2 linked regions of the Canis lupus familiaris genome follow. The protein of the gene in region 1 interacts with the protein of each later gene in a pairwise test. Links are inferred from orthologs where the notes say so. Each region holds a gene or a part of one and is shown on either strand. Other genes may lie near its edges.

What was found.
Region 2: the proteins of EPN2 (region 1) and WBP2 interact in binary tests that used the Homo sapiens proteins (3 or more experiments, as listed by UniProt). The link is inferred for Canis lupus familiaris from reciprocal best matches to the Homo sapiens genes EPN2 and WBP2.

The regions. Positions count from the first base shown.
Region 1 is NC_049226.1:41,168,135-41,172,422, reverse strand, and holds the start of EPN2 (epsin-2), read left to right. Parts: upstream 1-1,448; 5' UTR 1,449-1,583; intron 1,584-4,288. UniProt on the Homo sapiens protein: Plays a role in the formation of clathrin-coated invaginations and endocytosis.
Region 2 is NC_049230.1:5,622,472-5,627,063, forward strand, and holds the start of WBP2 (WW domain-binding protein 2), read left to right. Parts: upstream 1-1,773; 5' UTR 1,774-1,780; coding exon 1,781-1,839; intron 1,840-1,880; exon of another isoform or gene 1,881-1,921; intron 1,922-2,065; exon of another isoform or gene 2,066-2,197; intron 2,198-4,592. UniProt on the Homo sapiens protein: Acts as a transcriptional coactivator of estrogen and progesterone receptors (ESR1 and PGR) upon hormone activation. In presence of estrogen, binds to ESR1-responsive promoters. Synergizes with YAP1 to enhance PGR activity.

The sequences.
Region 1 (4,288 bases):
TAAATATGGTCTTAAAAATTCAGCTCCTTGGGTCACACTAAGCCACATCTCAAGCGCTCACATGTGGATGGCACAGCTAGAGAACACTTCCATCATTGGAAGTTATATTGGGCAGCATTGAATCTATGGGAAGCACTCCAGCCTGCACTGGGCACCCACAGCATGTTGGCATAATCCATCTAGAGTTACAAACTGAGGGCATGGGCCATGATTTCATGTAAAGCTCTGCTCTCCCAGAAAGCCCAGGAAGGCCCAGCAAAGATGAGTTTTCTTCATCCATTGGGCTTCTTCCTAGGGAGGAGAAATACAAAGCTCAGAGAAGTGCTGTGACTTGCCCAAGGTCTCTTATAAGTGAGGGCAGAATGGGACTCATGGACACAGCTTCCCTGAAACCAGAGCTAAGCATAATGCCCATGTCACCGGGGCTTCCTTGGATCCAGGCAACAGGGATGGTGCTGACTGCCAACCCAGCAAGCTGGGACCCATACTCCAGACTCTGCTGTGAGGGGTTTCTGCTGATCCCACCCTTTCTGGGGTAGGAACCTCTCCAAAGTCTGTCTCTTCAGCTTTGTCTTCTGTCTCCCTCTGAGCCTCACACAGAGCTTGGCACATTGCAGGAGCCTCATGGGCACCTGTTGAACCCAATGCAAGGGGTGGATCCTGTTGCTCTTGTGAGTGTCAGGCCCTGCGAAGGGGTGAGTCCATAAATTCCTCTTATGAGGATAACGGTGAGCCAAGGGCTTTACATTTTTCCTATATGGATCCCTTTGGCAGTCTAGCAAAGCTGATGCATCCCTTCTCAGAACCATTTTTGAGTTTTTTTGAAGTACGAACACATCTACACAAAAGTGCACACATCTATAGTGTACATCAGTGAATTTTCAACAAGTGAACACTACTCGTGACCCTGGCACTCAGCTCAAGACACCGAAAGTGACCAGCACCCCAGGAGCCCCTGGCCCCTGCCAGGCCCCAGCTCTGGAGGAGAGCCCCTATTGGAATAATGTTTCCAAGTGCATATTGCAAGGCGAGGGTAAGAACGGGGTTTCAGCGCTGATGGAGGGCTCTGCGTGCGCGCCTGAGGCTGGCGAGATGGAGTATGGGGTACGGGGGGGGGGGGATTTGTCGGGGAACGGGGTGTCTGAGTGAAAGTTGCCGAGTGCGTGGGTTCGGGTGTGTATTTGGTAGGGTTTGTGGGCGGTTGGAGGGTGGTCGTCAAGAGGCGTGTGCGGGGCTTGGGGGGACGCTCGAAGGACTCGGGCGCAGGTCGCGAGGCACCGCGGGGAAGCGGGGCGCTCTGAGTGGGGTCGTGGGTCTGTGGGGGGAGGTCGCGGGGGCGGGGCCTGGGGAGGGGCGGGGCCTCGGCGGGCTGGGGGCGGGGCCGGCGGGCGCGCGCACGCAGCCGGCGCGCCCCCTCCCGGCCGCCATGTTGGCTGGTGTGTGGGTGTCAAACGGAGCTAGACGCGGCGGCGGCGGCGGCGGCAGCGGCGGCTGCGGCGGCTCCGCGGGCTTCGGTCGCTCCCGCCTCCCCAGTGCCACCCGCGGCCGCAGCCGCGTACCCGGGCAGGCTCGGAGGAGCGGAGGTGAGCCGGGGCCCGCGAGCCTCGGGGGCGGGGGGGTGGGCGGGCGGGAGCGGGGCCCCCGGGCGCGGACCCTCCCCTCCCCGGGGCGCGGACGCCCTCCCTGCGCGGCTGCCCTCCGGCCAACCCCCCAGAGCCTGCCCGGGCTGGGTCCCCAGCTCAGGTGGGACCCTTTCCTTTCCAGCCAGGCTCCGCCCCACGGGTTGGAGCATGGCCCCCTCCCCATCTGGATCCCGCTTTCAGCCTCAAGGGAGCCCCCCCCCCCAATCTCCCTGTCGGGGAACTCTCCCTCTTACGTCCTCGGAGTCAGGGGCTCAGCTCCAGGAGCCTCTCCAGGCCCTCATCCTCCACCTTTCTGCGGGAACCACCCCGCCCCTCCTCCCCAGAGCACTTTCCTCCCCGGGTCGGGCCGGGCGCCCCCTTCCTCCCGAGCCGAGCCCGATCTCCCTCCCGGCCGCCCCCGTGCACAGCCCAGCCCCTGTTTCCTCCAGGAATCGGGGGAGGGGTCCTCGCTGTCCAGGATTGCGTCCGGTCGCCGCTCTCCTTCGGGCTGGAGCTGGGGGCCCCTTTCCCTCCCCGGGGACCAGGTTCTCCCTCCCCACCCCCGACCCCCACGGCACAGCGGGGACGGGGGCGGCAGAGCCTGGCTCCAGCTGCCTTTTGTTCCGCGTGGGATGCCAGAGACCCCGCCCGGCGGTCCCGTTCGGCTGATCCGGGTGGGTGAATGGGTGCGTGGGGGCCGGCCTCTTCAAGGAGACCCTTCCTCTCTCTGCCCGTGGGGCGGCTCCCCCAGAGCGGAGCGCGTTGGCAGAGGCTGGCCCTTCCTAGAGGAGTCCGTGCCAACAGGTTTTTGTTTGCGACCTGAAGTTGGCCCAGTGGCTTCGCGGGGAGGGGTTGGGGTGGGGAGTGGGGGCACCTTGCCCTCCCCAGAAACCCCTGCAGGGGCCTGTGAAAAGCCCATTCCTCCTCCCAGGGGCACGACAGCCTGGGGTCCCTTCACTGTTTTGTCCTGGGGACGCGTCTGAAATCTGTGCTTTACGAGAGGACCGGGCTTGACCATCATTGGGGTCCAGAGATGCAATGATTTGCCCAAGGTCATGCAGTGCTACTGTGTCACTGCCAGAACTAGAAGCTTGGTCTCCCGGGTGCTCTCTTCGCACATTTTAGAATTTTAAAAGCGATGTTCAGGATAACACCCCTTCCCCCCCTCTTATTTTTAACATTCACACAAGATAATGGGCAGGAAAAGATGTGAAGTATGAGTTCTTCTTTTCTGCCTCCTCCCAAAAAAGCCCTGTGAAAGGAGAGGTTGGAACAGGAGGTTAAAACGATTGAAAAAGGTGAATTTTAATTACCACTCTCCCAATTACGTAAGATAATGAAGATTTGGCAGAAAACATGTACATCTTGTAGCTCTAGATAGCAGATGATAGGTGCTGGCAAAATCATATACTGAATCCTGCACAACAGTGATTGAGTTTGCACTGATAATTAAGTTTTCATCTGTATTTAAATGAACATCAGAAGGGACTCTTTTTTTTTTCTGACTTGTTCTTGTTCCAGTTGATTGTATTTGGGATAAGTGATGGTGTTGGGGAAGCTACCAAGATCTGAACTTTTATCTGTCTGTATTTTTACTTTTGTATTTTTAAAGCTTAGTAGTTTCTTTAGTTTTAACATTGGGTTGGTCATGTTACCACTGGACTTTTCTTTTGTAAGCATTGAATGAAATACTGGCTAGTAAAGAGTTGGGTAAAGTGCAAATTATTGTCAGACGTGATTCAGAATTGTATCCCACAAGACCCTGGAGCAGGAGCAAGTTTGGATTGTCCTGTGGGATATATTGATCTCTCAAGGAGGCTTTTTGCCTCCTTGAACCTCCAGTTTGACAGATGAGGAGTTTGGTGGAGAACTGTCTCCCAGCAAGGTGCGTTTTGTCAAACACGGTGGCACATGTTTGGAAATGTAAAACTTTCAAGTGATGATACTTAGCATGGTATATGCAGCCTTGAAAATGACCCATCCCGGGGGTGCCTCAGTGGCCCGGTCAGGTTAAGCGTCTGCCTTTGGCTCAGGTCATGATCTCAGGGTCCTGGGCTCCCAGGGTCCTGTTTTTCGTTGCTCCTCAGGAAGCCTGCTTCTCCCTCTCCCTCTGCCTGCTTGTGCTGTCTCTGTCAAATAAATAAATAAAATCTTAAAAAGGAAAGAAAATAACCCAACCCATAAAAAAGCCCTTGGAAAAACACAGTTGATGCCTCTTAGGTAACTGGGCTTCCATGGTAAGGCGTGGCTTTCCTAAGTGTTGGGATTCTGATAAGAGTCCTGCAAAAAGTAGATGAAGAGTTTTTAGGACTTTGATTTGTTTCAGTGGCTTGCCTCTTCCTGAACTTAAAAGAGTGGGCTTTTTTTTTTTTAAATAAAGATTTCATTAGGTTGAGGGTAAACTTCAGTCTTTGGTGGGCTAAAGTGCCAAGAAATTTTCATGCATGGAGCTCTCTTTTCATACTCTTGGGAAGTGCAGTAAAGCTTTCGGGCATTTGTTCTTCCTATTCCCCAGAACCTTCCTGTTGGATTGATGGGCCATGGATGACTGTGGTGGTTGTCACTTGATGGCAGGAGTACCTGGTGACCCCGAGCCTTGCAGAAATAAAAGGGCTTGCATTGGGGGAACTTGAGGTTGGGGAGAGAAGGAATTTTGTAGATCTCCC
Region 2 (4,592 bases), on another chromosome or scaffold:
GAACTTAACAAACTGGCAATCCTTCTGTATCTGCACATGGAATTTGCCTTCATTAAAAAAAAAAAAAAAAAAAAGGGATCCCTGGGTGGCGCAGCGGTTTGGCGCCTGCCTTTGGCCCAGGGCACGATCCTGGGGGGACCCGGGATCGAATCCCACGTCGGCTACCGGTGCATGGAGCCTGCTTCTCCCTCTGCCTGTGTCTTCTCCCTCTGCCTCTCTCTCTCTCTCTGTGACTATCATAAATAAATACAAATTTAAAAAATAAATAAATAAAAAATTTTAAAAAAAGCTGCATAGACTTCGCGAGCCAAAATTAATTTAACTACTGGAGCAGATCACGTCCATCGTGCAGTAATTTATTGCACTCGTCCTGCAAGGCCCCACCTGCTTGTGCTTAAGACTTCCCAGAAGGCTGTTACATGTTTCATCTTTTCTGGGTGTTGATCCCTCACCTAGGAAACTCTAAAAGATAAGTCAGGCAGGTGGGTCCCCAGGTTGGCCATCACATGTCAGGGAATCAGCTGTACTGCTTAAACTCAAACTTCCGATCCTTTAAGATTAATGATGCACCAGCACCACCACGTGGGGAGTGACACCCTTCTTTCCTCCCCTGGAAGATCCACCTCAGGGTCTCCTGGGTGGTTCAGTGGCTGAGCATGTGCCTTTGGCTCAGGTCTTGATCCCGGGGTCCTGGGATCGAGTCCTGTATCAGGCTCCCCGCAGGGAACCTGCCTGTCTCTCTCTGTCTCTCATGAATAAATAAAAAAATAAAAATAATAAAAAAAGAACTACCTCGGACGTGGAGATACATAATTACTACAGCTGCCCAAGGGCGCCGCCCAGTGCTGGGGCCCAAGCTGAAATGACTCAGCTGTATTTCATAAACCACATAATGGGGCTGCCGGACTTGCCTTGTCCGGGCTCCTAGGTCCTTTCAATGACTGTGAGTCTTGTTGAAATCTTACAGCTGGAAAGCTCCCGGGCGGGCCTGACCGAAGCCAGATCGTTCTAGAGGGAGCAGGGCCACCGCGAGGCCTGCGGGGCTGAAGGTAGAGGCGCTCCCCACCGGACCCTGGTATTTGGTGCAGGGGTCAGGTCGGGCCACCGGACAGTCTCACCCCCAACCTCCGAGGGTCCGGGTCTGACTTCACGACAGGGATGCTCTGGCAGCCCGCCCCGTCCTGGACCCGGGTCTTGCGCTCATCTACACGGCTACAGTGACCACCCGGATCAGGGGCAAAGTCATGTAGACTCAGTGTTTCACAAATAAAGATGCCCTAGCAAGTGACTGCTCAGCATTCCCCACACCCGGTTTAGATTCCCACCGCCGCCCCCTCATTCTGTGAGTATTCACTTTTGTGCTCAAGGCCTTTCCGAGTAATACCCCTGTGACGTGTCCAACTGTTTATTCCGGTCCCTTGGAAGATACGAAGGGCTGTGCGTAATGCGCAGGCCGATTAGTTATGCAACTGGGGCAGTCAATCCGGCCTGGAAGACTACAAGTTCCAGAGTGCATCCTTCCGCTAACGTAGAGAAAAGCCGATTGAGGGAGCATGGCCTTCTGGGAATTGTAGTCTTCAGCTTGTTTGTGATGCAGGCGAAACGGGAGGGGGAGTGAGTAAACTATTACCACGTGACGCTCGAGATCAGGTGGTTGGACCAGGCTCCGCACAAGAGCTGTGATTGGCTGGCTCTAATACGAACGACGCCACTAGGGGCGGGCCGTGGAGGGGCGCAGGCGCACTGCGTTGAGAGTCTCGGGACCCTTTTCCGAGAGACTATGGCGCTCAACAAGAACCACTCGGAGGGCGGCGGAGTGATCGTCAACAACACCGAGAGGTGAAAACACGGCGGAAGGATCCTGGAAAAACGATGGGGGGGGGGGCGTGGGCGGTGGGCGGCCGGGGATGAACCGGTGAAGGTAAACCGACGGGGTGCGGGGGGGGGGTTAACGGCTGGAGGCGGGGCCGGAGGCCGAGGGTGGGTCGGCGGAGCGGCTGGGACGTCGCGGTTAGCTGTGGGCTGGCGCGGGGGGGCGGCGGCTGGGCAGACAGGTGGGCCCCGGGGTCGCTCTTGAGCCCCTTTCCCAGAGTCGATGACTTCACGGGGTGGGAAGAGCCTTAGACAAAAATAATTGCTACTTACTGAGTGTTTACTACGTTCCTACGCGCCAGGCTGTGCTCTTCTGCCTTAACGTGTAAGTGCGGCGCAGCGCTTAGATCATGCTGGTCTGCACGTTTTACATGCAGGGAAACTGAGGCACGGAGAGGTTAGGTGACTTGCCAGAGATCACAGGGCTGTATATGACACAGACGGGATTCCAGGAAAGGCGTCTTTAAAGTCAAAAGGCCGGCAGCCCCGCTGGCTCAGCGGTTTAGCGCCACCTTCAGCCCGGGGCGTGATCCTGGGGTCCGGGGATCGAGTCTCCCATCCAGCCTGCTTCTCCCTCTGCCTGTGTCTCTGCCTCTCTCTCTCTTTGTGTCTCTCATGAAAAATCTTAATTCTGTTTAAATAAAGTCAAAAGGCTTGACTACCAGTACATAGCCTTCTGGTATATTCCAGAACTGCCGAGTTTCCAGATGAGAGACTGAGGCCCAGAGGTGCAGTTAGATAGATAATGTTTGTCAAATGGCGAACACATTTCCTGGCACAATGTCTGTCCTTGCGTCTTTCTCTCCAGTGCCTGTTGACTTGGATCACTTCCCTGAGCAGAGGTCTCCCCGCCTCTCTCCATACCCCTCACCCCCTCCCTCACCTTCCCCCGCCCCCCGCCCGTCAGTTCTGTCCTCTTTGCTCTGGTCTCTGAACTTCTCTGTGGCTTCTCTCTTGCTCCTTGGGCACCGGGAATTAGACCATCCAGCCTCGGTTCAGCTAGGCTGACGCTGAAATTCTCTTTAAGGCGGGAGGTGCTTACGAGGAGTCTGAGTCCCTGGAAGAGACTTCAGTGGGATCAGAGCCTTGTAGGCTGCCAGGGCCAGCACCCAGGAATGCTTGATGAGTCAGGAGAAAGCCAGGGGTGCCCCGGGCTTCAGAGTGCTGACGTTCCCTCCATCGTCCCTGCTCAGGGTCTGCCAGCCCAGCCTGTTCCTGGTAATGAGCTGTTTTTCTCTGAGCTGTACCTCTTAACTATATTTGTTTTTAAGATTTATTTGTTTTAGGGACACCTGGGTGGCTCAGTCAGTTAAGCATCTGCATTGGGCTCAGGTCATGATCCAGGGTCCTGGGATCAAGGCCGGATCAGGTTCCCTGTTCAGCAGGGAGCCTGCTTCTCCTTCTCCCTCTCCCTCTGCCTGCTGCTCCACCTATTTATGGGCGCTCTCTCTGTCAAGGTTTATTTATTTTTTTTATTTTTATTTTTTAATTTTTATTTATTTATGATAGGCACACAGTGAGAGAGAGAGAGGCAGAGACACAGGCAGAGGGAGAAGCAGGCTCCATGCACCGGGAGCCTGACGTGGGATTCGATCCCGGGTCTCCAGGATCGCGCCCCGGGCCAAAGGCAGGCGCTAAACCGCTGCGCCACCCAGGGATCCCCGGTTTATTTATTTTAGAGAGAGTCCGTGCAAGCGCAGGGGGAGGATCAGACGGGGAGAGAAAGAGAGAAGCCACAAGCAGACTCAGGGCTGAGCTCAGAGTCCCATGAGAACCCTGAGATCATGACCTGAGCAGAGACTGAGGGTCCGCCACTTAACCAACTGAGCCACCTTGGTGCCCCTCTGAGCTGTACTTCTCTTCCCTGGTACCAGTCCTCTTTCCCACTTACCCTCCCCAGTGAAGAAAGTTGTGATATTTGGGAGGAGGAAGACAAATGGAACCATGTGAACTTGGACTCTGTTATCTTCTAATCAGAGAAACCTCACATTGTTCCCATTTTGTAGTCTCTCTTGAGTGCAAGCCAGTCCTAGGCCTGGAAAAACACTTCGATGCCATTTGGTAACATCTCCTGGGACTATTTTTCTTTCTTTCTCAGTGGGACTTTGTGGGACAAGAATGTATCTGTCCTGGTGGACCTCCTACCTGGCTTCGGGCTCTGTGCTGCTAAATAATGGTGTGCCTTGTTTTAGAAAATGTTTCCGCCTTGTTTCTGGAAAAAATTGTATGGCAGTTGAAGTTTAAATTAGCGTTTAAAATTTCATGTGTAAGATAGTCTTACTTTTCAAGTGATGAATCCCTTTGAGAGTGATGAAAGCCGCAGATTCTTCCAGAAAAACGCACGTACACCATCATTTCATGGACTCCCACCCATGTAGACCCAGTTCAGGAAGCCCCGGTTTAAAGAGGTGTGAAATGAGCCCTTTGGTAATGTGTAGAGTCCTGTCTTAGAGGGTTTATGGGTCAGTACTAATAAGCCAATGAAAACAGACACACATTATAGGGACTCAGAAGAAAATGGGAGAGTCAACCCAGGTAATCTAACCTGATTTGAGGGATTATGGTGTTAATGGCTTTAAAGCCCTCCGCCTCGGCTCTTCTGCTGTTGTCCCTTGAGAGGAGGGGGTATATGTGGGGCTTGGGGAAATTCTGAGGACCCCGCCTTGCTCATCTATTTCGAGGATGTATTAATAGTTTCCTTGCAGCAACGTCAAAACAAC